2 linked regions of the Mus musculus genome follow. The protein of the gene in region 1 purifies or fractionates together with the protein of each later gene. This does not show direct contact. Links are inferred from orthologs where the notes say so. Each region holds a gene or a part of one and is shown on either strand. Other genes may lie near its edges. The genes, in order: Rhou and Pak1.

Region 1 (3,908 bases):
TGTTCCCTTACCACACAGTGATATACTGATGGTCGTTGGCTTTCCCCCACTCATAGCAAAGGTGCCAAACAGCTTTCCCAGCAGTCCATTAAGACAGCCTTGTCTTCTGTCTCCTCAAGGTCTCAAGAATAAGCCAGTCCCGAGTCCCAAGTTTGCTGTCTTACAGTAATGAGTTAGCTAAAGGCCCTGGCTTGGATGAGATCTGGAGACACAGGAAGGCCAGCTTTTTCCTTAGCACGGACAGTCAGGGAAGCAAAGGGGTTACTTATCCCCACTGTACCCTGTCAGCTCCAGACATTGGGAGAGCAGAGTTTGCTGTCACCTGGGCACCTGAGTACTTAGGACCTCAGTGGCTAGAACAGCTTCTAGGGCAGCTTTAACCCTTCTGTGGGGCACTCAGGGGGTCCTACACCTATGCCTCCTGCCTGGCTTCCTTTTCTAGTGTTTTGCCCCCGAGACAAGAATGACCAAACAGAGTGGCCCTGCCTTTCCCTGCTCCATTTATGGTGACTCTGACCACTGCTCTAGAGCAGGGAAAGACATTTGTTAACATAAGCTACTGGTTTTTTTTTTTTTCTTTTTTTTCCTTGAACAAGCGTTTAAGTCTCAGGTTCATTAGCCTTGAATCAATGGATTATAGGACATGAGGGGCTTCCTCTGAGAAACGCTTACAAACCATTCCTGTGGTTTTTCTTTTGTAGCCTAAGCTAGGCCATGAGAGGTACCCGAAAGTCCTATGAAGATAAGGGGCAGTTCCCGCAGCGATGGCTGCCTCCCCAGCTCCTTCCCAGAACAGGCCGACCCTGTTTCACTGGCCCCGAGGTGTCCTTCTTGGCCTCCTCCCACTGCCCTCAAAGGAGATGAAGCAGGGGTGGGCCTGCTTCGGCGAGTTTCACAATGACCCAGTTACTAAGGGAATCATTTGGAAACTGCAAAGGTTGTTTGGAAACCTTTAAAAGGCTGTTTCCTTTCCCAGTGCCTGAGCTGTGTAACTTGATACCGACCTGTCCTGCAGTGTCACAGAGCTGGAGTCTCACAGGCCGCCCATCTACAGACACCACGGCTTGGGAGAAAGAAAAAAAAAAAAGAGCAAGATGATTATCAGGACATCTTTTACCCTCTCAGCAGATTGGCAGTTCCTGCTCTGGGTTCTCTTAGTGAACTAAGGACTTGGCTACGCCCAGAAACCCATGGAAGTGTACAAATGTTCCAAGGTGGGGGGCTCCCTCCACCACAGAGCATGAAGCAGCAAAGCCCTGACCTCCAGAAGGTGCCCCGGAAGGCTTGTTTTCCTTTCAAGCCTGGAAGATTAATTTTCCTGTCACCCTTGTTTCAAAGAGCCTAGAAACAACACAAGGTGGGAAACCAACTCTGCACTTTTAAATCAGTGGACAACCTCATAGATAATCCTGTTTTCTCTTGGGAAAAAAAAATCTCCCTGCTTCAGGGTTTATCATAAAACTCCAGCAGTTTTGAGAACTTGTGCAAACACAGGCGGCCTATCACCCGTGCGTGTGTGGAAATGGGCACTTCTCTCTGTCAGTTCAAAAAGAGGATTAAGAAAAGCTGGCAGAGAGAAGCCACACAGATTTTCCCCCAGGGTCCAGAGATAGGGTGAGAGCAAGGACCCCCCATCCAGTAAAGACTCGGAGGTTTCAGCTTATATTAGGCAATTTGTCTCCTTCTGATAGCATTTCTGGTTGTTTATAAATGTTTATGCTAGTGAGCGGTGGAGGGGGCACCATGCACTTCTGTTTTATCCATAGGGTCTCTGAAATTAGAGACTGGCCACGGAGACTGGAAGTCGGAGGTAAATTTTTTAGGAGGAAGATTTTTCACACTAGCTTAATGTGATTTTTTTTTTGTAACTTTTTCTTAAATTCCTGAAAGACTTTTTAAAAAATCAAGAGAAATGATTGCTTTACTTTTGTTATCTTTGTGTGATCCACGAACCCACCCACCCTTGAGAACTTGCTGTAACTAAACGCCAAGCTGGAGGGACTGGGCCAACCGTCAGAAACCGAGACAGCGCAGGCGGGGCGCAGGCCAGGCAGGCGCTGGGCTCAGAAGAAAGGAACGTTCTCGCAAGCCCCAGCCCTCCTTGGTGCGCCTGGCCGGCTCACACACGGGAGCAATCCGGGTTGCTCCAGGCGAAGATCCGCTGGAAGTGAGCCGCCCCGGAGGGCGCAGGTGGGAAGGCCACCTGAGCTGCAGCTCGCTCCGGAATCCCGGAGCCAGACCGGTCGGACACCCCGCTGCCACCTCGCCGAGCCGCTGCCCCGAGACCCGCGCCGCCCCGCGCCTCCCAGCCCGAGGCCGCGCCCCGCCCGGCGCTCACCCGAGAAGTTGTCGAAGGCCGTAGGGATGTACTCGGTGGGGTAGCCGTTAGTGGTGTAGCTGACCACCAGGCTGGTCTTGCCCACCGCGCCGTCGCCGACCAGCACGCACTTGACGCCGCGTCCCTCGGCGCCGCCCGCGCGCCCCCGACCCCCGGACACCCCGGGCCCGCGCGCCCCGCGCCCCCCGCGCTCTCGGCGAGGCGGTACCGGCGGCGCCGCCGGCGGCTCGCAGCGGGCGGGCAGCGCCGGCCGGCCTTGCTGCGGGGCCATCGCGGGGCGGCGGCCGCGAGACCAGCTGCCACCGGCGGACAAAGGCGGCGCACGGTCCGCACTCGGCTGGGCGTCTGTGCCCGCGCGGCCGCGATGTGGCCGAGCCTGCTCCGCCAGGCTTCCCTGCGACACCGGCGGGCGGGGAAAGAGGCGGGTCCGGCGGCTCCTTCTTCTATCCGAGACCACAGCGCCCCCGTCTGCGCGCCGCGCTGGTGAACTACGCCGGCGCCTCGAAACGGTGCGGCTGGACTAGCTGGCTCCACCACGCCAACCCACGCGGACCCCGAGCTACCCCTGGCCCCTGCTGTGGGCTTCTCATCCCCCCACCCCCCTTTCCCGGCTCCTTCCCAAGCTTCCTTTCCTCCTCTTGCTCTCCAGTTCCTCCTGCCCTGCCCCCTCCTCCCCATCCTTCTGTTCCCCCTTCCCTCCCGGCTCTTTCTCTTCCCTCTCCTCCTTCTCCCTCCTTAGGTCGCCCCCTATTCTCTTTCTACTCCACAACCTCCTTTCCGCGGTCTCCCTCTCACCATGATCACCCTGCTTCTTCCACTCTTCCTGTTCCTCCAGCTGCCCTTGCTCCTCCACACAAGTGTCTTGGTTTGGAGGGGGAGAGTGCTGTGGGGCCTGCCTGCTTTTGCAGTCCCTCAGGAGAGATTATTGTCTTGATAGCCAGTCCTGATGAGTAGGACTTAAGTTTGATTGCAGACAAATGTATGATTTTTCTGTTAAAAATCATTGATTCTCATTTGGATGCAGGATACCACCCTTTGTTAGCGCTCCCTCTCTTTGGCATGCTGTGACCTTGTGTGTATTCATGGTCCAGCAAATTTCCTTACAGTCTTTAGTTAAGTGCAATTTTGGCTGCCGTAGTATTATCTGAAAAGCTAATTGTCTGTTCATTTTGTGCTGCCCTTTCTCTGCCTGGTCACTAATGCTTCTGATTTGCTTCTGGTGTAAGAAGAGCTGTGTGCTGTTAATATTAATATTATTTTGCTGGTGGTAAAGACAAGAGCTAGGGGCCGAGAGAAAGGGAGAGTGGTTAAGAGCACCGGCTGCTCTTCCAGAGGTCCTGAGTTCAATTCCCAGCAACCACATGGTGACTCACGACCATCTGTAATGGGATCTGGTGCCCTCTTGTGGTGTGTCTTAAGACAGCCAGTGTATTCATATAAATAAAATAAATAAATCTTAAAAAAAAAAAGACAAGAGCTAGTTAAATACTGAGCCTTTGTTATGTCCCAGATGTTGTTGTAACCATTCTGTCAAAACGAATTCCTTTAATATTAGCATTACTTATACCCA
Region 2 (3,908 bases), on another chromosome or scaffold:
AGAAGTCTGTGAAGTAAACACCTAGCCTATCTGGTCTCTGGACTCTCTCTATCTTGTGCCCGAAATTGAATATAAGAGAGCAGGGAAGAGAAAGGGATCAAATAACTCAGAGAGGGTGCTCAGCAGTGAGTCACCTAAATGGCCTGCAGCCAGAAAAAAACAGGGACAAAGTCTGCTTCCTTCTGAGAATTTGTTTGGCCAGGGCGTAATAACCTACCACATGTAAATTTGTTTTCTATTTCATTAATATCTACATTTTATTCCCAAAGACAGAAAAAAAAAAACAAGAAAATTCTTTATATACAACATGCACCTAATGTCACAAGATAACATAGTCTAAGTAAATGTGTATCACAATTAAAGAAGACTTGAGTTTACAGTGCAGCCCTGGCACTGATTTGTTGAACCTTAGTCTTCCTCCACTACATTATCATAGCTCCCTGTGCTCCCCTCTACACTACACATGAGGGTCCACCCCTAGACCTGCATCTGAACACAGCAAATGAATCTAAATACCTCCTTTAAAAACCAACAGTACTCAGCAACCAGCACCATAACTAATATACTACAGGTGACTGAGAGAATGTTTATTTTTAAAATTACATCTATTTATACATGTGTGCGTTGGGATAGTGGTGAGACCATACCATAGCTCACATATCCAGACATCTCGTAGGAATTAGTCTCTCCTACCATATAAAACATGGGAATAGAACTCAGATCTCATCATGCTTGGTGGCAAATGTTCTCACCAACCAGAGAGAACAGTTAATGATGGATACCAAATTGATATCTTGTATGTGTGTGTGTATATATGCATACACACATGCACACACATTGCATATATTAGTTAGTGAGTGTCAATGAAACAATAACCCTGTCAGTCTCATCTCTGTTTCCCCTCTGACTCTCTCACTTTAGGACACTACGGGGCGGGAGAGGGCGGGGGGGTGGGGGGGGGGGAGAAAGATGCAGAGCAAAAATAATCCTCTTCAGAGAGCCTACCATCAGGAGGGAAAACAATGAACCTATATGGCTACACATCTTTTACATAGCCTATAAATCGTTCCCTCTACAGCTACCCTTACCCCCTAATAACCCCCATCTTGATGCCAACGCCACCCTCTTCTTCCTAAAGAACACTCTTGCCCCAAGACTCCCCCTTCTTCTCTTCATCCCACTGTGCCCCTGGAAACTGGCTATCTCCCAGCCCTCATCTCAGTGAGGGGCTCTCAGGAAGGTCTCCTAGCTAGCTGTATTTGTACTTGTTCTCCAGCTCGAGCCTTCAAGCTCCTGACTTCCTACCATGATTTTTTCCTTCTGCCCACATTCTGCCTTGGTTCTCAAGGAAAAGGATGGGGAATAAACCCAGGAAAAATAACTACTTATTAGGAAGCCTCAAAACACAGCTTGAGGGCAGTAAGGAGACAGCCTGACACATAAGGAAAACAGAGCTTAGGTCCAAAACAAGGAAGCTAGAATGTTTGGACCTTACAAACATCACAGCAAAGGTCCCTCCAAGTCAGCAACTTACTACCAATGAGAAAGCACAATAAAAGATTCTAAAAGGAAAAGAGAAGAGAGCCTAACCAAGAAGAAGAGGACCCAGGGAAGAAATGAAAAAGGAAAACAGAAAAAAGAAACCATGGTTATGGAAGGAAAAGAGACAAGAAGTGGAAAGCGTGAAGACAAGGAAAGGAAGAAAGGAAACTGGTGAGATCAGAAAACAGGTGAGGGGCAGGCAAGGAAAGCCGACCAGCAGGAAGAGGAGGAAGAAAGGAAGAGCAGGAAGGCTTCCCAGAGGGAATGCATAGCTCCTCTGTAACCAAGATGAGAAAGGTCCAAAATAATCAGCATAGGTTAGTATTTGTATTTCTTGGTGCCAGATAATAAAGGAAGGAATTACAGTGATTAAGATATTACATAGTGTCAAGGTCTGTTATTTACTTAGCAGATCAATAACAGTGCACCAGAGAAGACAGCCTAGTTTATAGCAGTGATCTAAGTATCAAAGAATTGGCCAGTTCAGGAAAAAAAATTAGCATGCGTTCACCTGTTTCTTCTCAACCCCACACCCCACACTCAACATATCTACTCTTAGCCCCAACAGAAGCATTAGCACTTTATGAAGTCACTGGTTCTAAACAGACCGGCAAGATGCATATGGAAGGCTGGCTCCTCTGTCTCTACCTAGCTCACCTTTCCAAGGTAAATTTTACAGCCTAGGAAAGGCACAGTTACAGAATGCTAAGCCCTTCTCTTCAAATAAGGAAATTAAGGCTCATAGAGACTGCCTGACCAGGAACAGCTGCAGGGGTCTCCTATCTTCACTACATCTCCAACCAGAGAACAGTATTCCGGGTCCCAGGAAAACCGCAGCTAAACCAAGGCACAGAAAAGCATCACCCTGGCCACCATGCAGAAGCATGCTTACAAAGGAGTGGGGCCCCTGAGGCATGCAGTTCCCCAAAAAATCCAGCTTCCCCTTCATAACCTTCCCTAGCCAGATGCCTTATTCCAGCACAGGCCTAGCCCTGAGGGGCTTATCTCAATGTTACACCACCAGGCCCTTTCCTTATTAAGAATCCCTTAATATAAGTGAAATGTAATGTTCTCCCCATTCCCTTCCCCGGAAGGCAGAAAGACACCCGCTCCTTCTACCCCAGCTCTCAGTCTAGCTATGCCAGGCCCAGGGAAAGCCAGCATTACCTGGCGGTGGGTCCGGGGCCCAGCATCTCTGATGATCTTGTGTATCTGTCGCAGAGCCGCACCTCTCCCTGCTCAGCAGTTGGGACAAAGCCCGGGCTGAACCAGCCTGACAGGCTGGATTCGGCTAAGCGCCGCAGCGCAGCCACCCAGCTCCCAAGGCGCAGCACACTCAGGCCCACGTAGGGCGGCAGCAAAGACACAGAGGCTTAGTGAAGGGGCGGGGAGGGAGGGAGGAACAGAGAAAGGAAGGAAAGGAGGCGGGGAGAGCGCTGCCCCCGCCCCTTTTTTTCTGAAGAGGCGCTGAGGGGCGGGAAACAAATACATAACCAATGTTCTGATTGTCTCTGCTGTTCTCCCAACCCAGGCTCCAACAAGAGGTACCAGACAGGCTTTTTAGAGCAGTAGTTCTCAACCTTCCTAACACTGCGATTCTTTAATATAGTTCCTCACATTGTGGTGACCCCCAATCATAAAATTAATTTTGTTGCTATTTCATAATTTTGTAATTCTGTAATTTTGCTACTGCTATGAATTGTAATGTAAATATCTGACATTTCCAATGGTCTTAGGTGACCCCTGTGAAAGGGTAGTTCAACAACCCCTCAAGGGATCTGGACCTATAAGCTGAGAACAGCTGTTCTAGAGCCTGTGGGAGTCCTCTTGAACCCCGGAATCAAGACCTACTCAAATTAGATTCAAGATTCATTCAGACTAGAATGGAGAGGGGGAAATTATTCTTTTCTGCTGACTCTCTAAAATGTGTCCCATGAAAGATAATAAGGTGGTCCCTATACCAACCACCTCCTTTGAACAGAGAAAGTTCAGCAACAGCTACTATTTGTTAAGGGCTATTTACTATGTGTCCCCACACTTTACAAACCTATGTCTATTTCACAGAGTTATGAAGTAGGCCCTACACCACTCTCAGAATTTCTTTAGCACTTGTCAGATACCAGTCACTACAATAGAACTTGGAGCTGGATGACACATTAAAGAAACAACTCTGGTCTTCCCCATCCCAATAAACGGTGCTTCCTTAAGACTGAAATGTTAAAAAATGTACCTTCACATATTTCCTGTACACCCAGAAGTCAGTATCTCCCATCATCACTCACTACACTCACCCAACTCATCCCTTGCCCTTGAGGCGCATGACTGGAATCAAGTTATGCAGTTATCTCTTCCAGGCCATAACTAAT

The links.
Region 2: the proteins of Rhou (region 1) and Pak1 purify together in Homo sapiens (co-immunoprecipitation; 5 studies listed by BioGRID and IntAct, with this or other methods). This does not show direct contact. The link is inferred for Mus musculus from reciprocal best matches to the Homo sapiens genes RHOU and PAK1.

Annotation. Positions count from the first base shown.
Region 1 is NC_000074.6:123,652,647-123,656,554, reverse strand, and holds the start of Rhou (rho-related GTP-binding protein RhoU), read right to left. Parts: upstream 2,627-3,908; 5' UTR 2,610-2,626; coding exon 2,339-2,609; intron 1,064-2,338; coding exon 1,005-1,063; intron 1-1,004. UniProt on the Homo sapiens protein: Binds to and activates protein kinase PAK1. Plays a role in the regulation of cell morphology, cytoskeletal organization and focal adhesion assembly during cell migration. Also stimulates quiescent cells to reenter the cell cycle.
Region 2 is NC_000073.6:97,841,943-97,845,850, reverse strand, and holds the start of Pak1 (serine/threonine-protein kinase PAK 1), read right to left. Parts: upstream 2,913-3,908; 5' UTR 2,710-2,912; intron 1-2,709. UniProt on the Homo sapiens protein: Protein kinase involved in intracellular signaling pathways downstream of integrins and receptor-type kinases that plays an important role in cytoskeleton dynamics, in cell adhesion, migration, proliferation, apoptosis, mitosis, and in vesicle-mediated transport processes.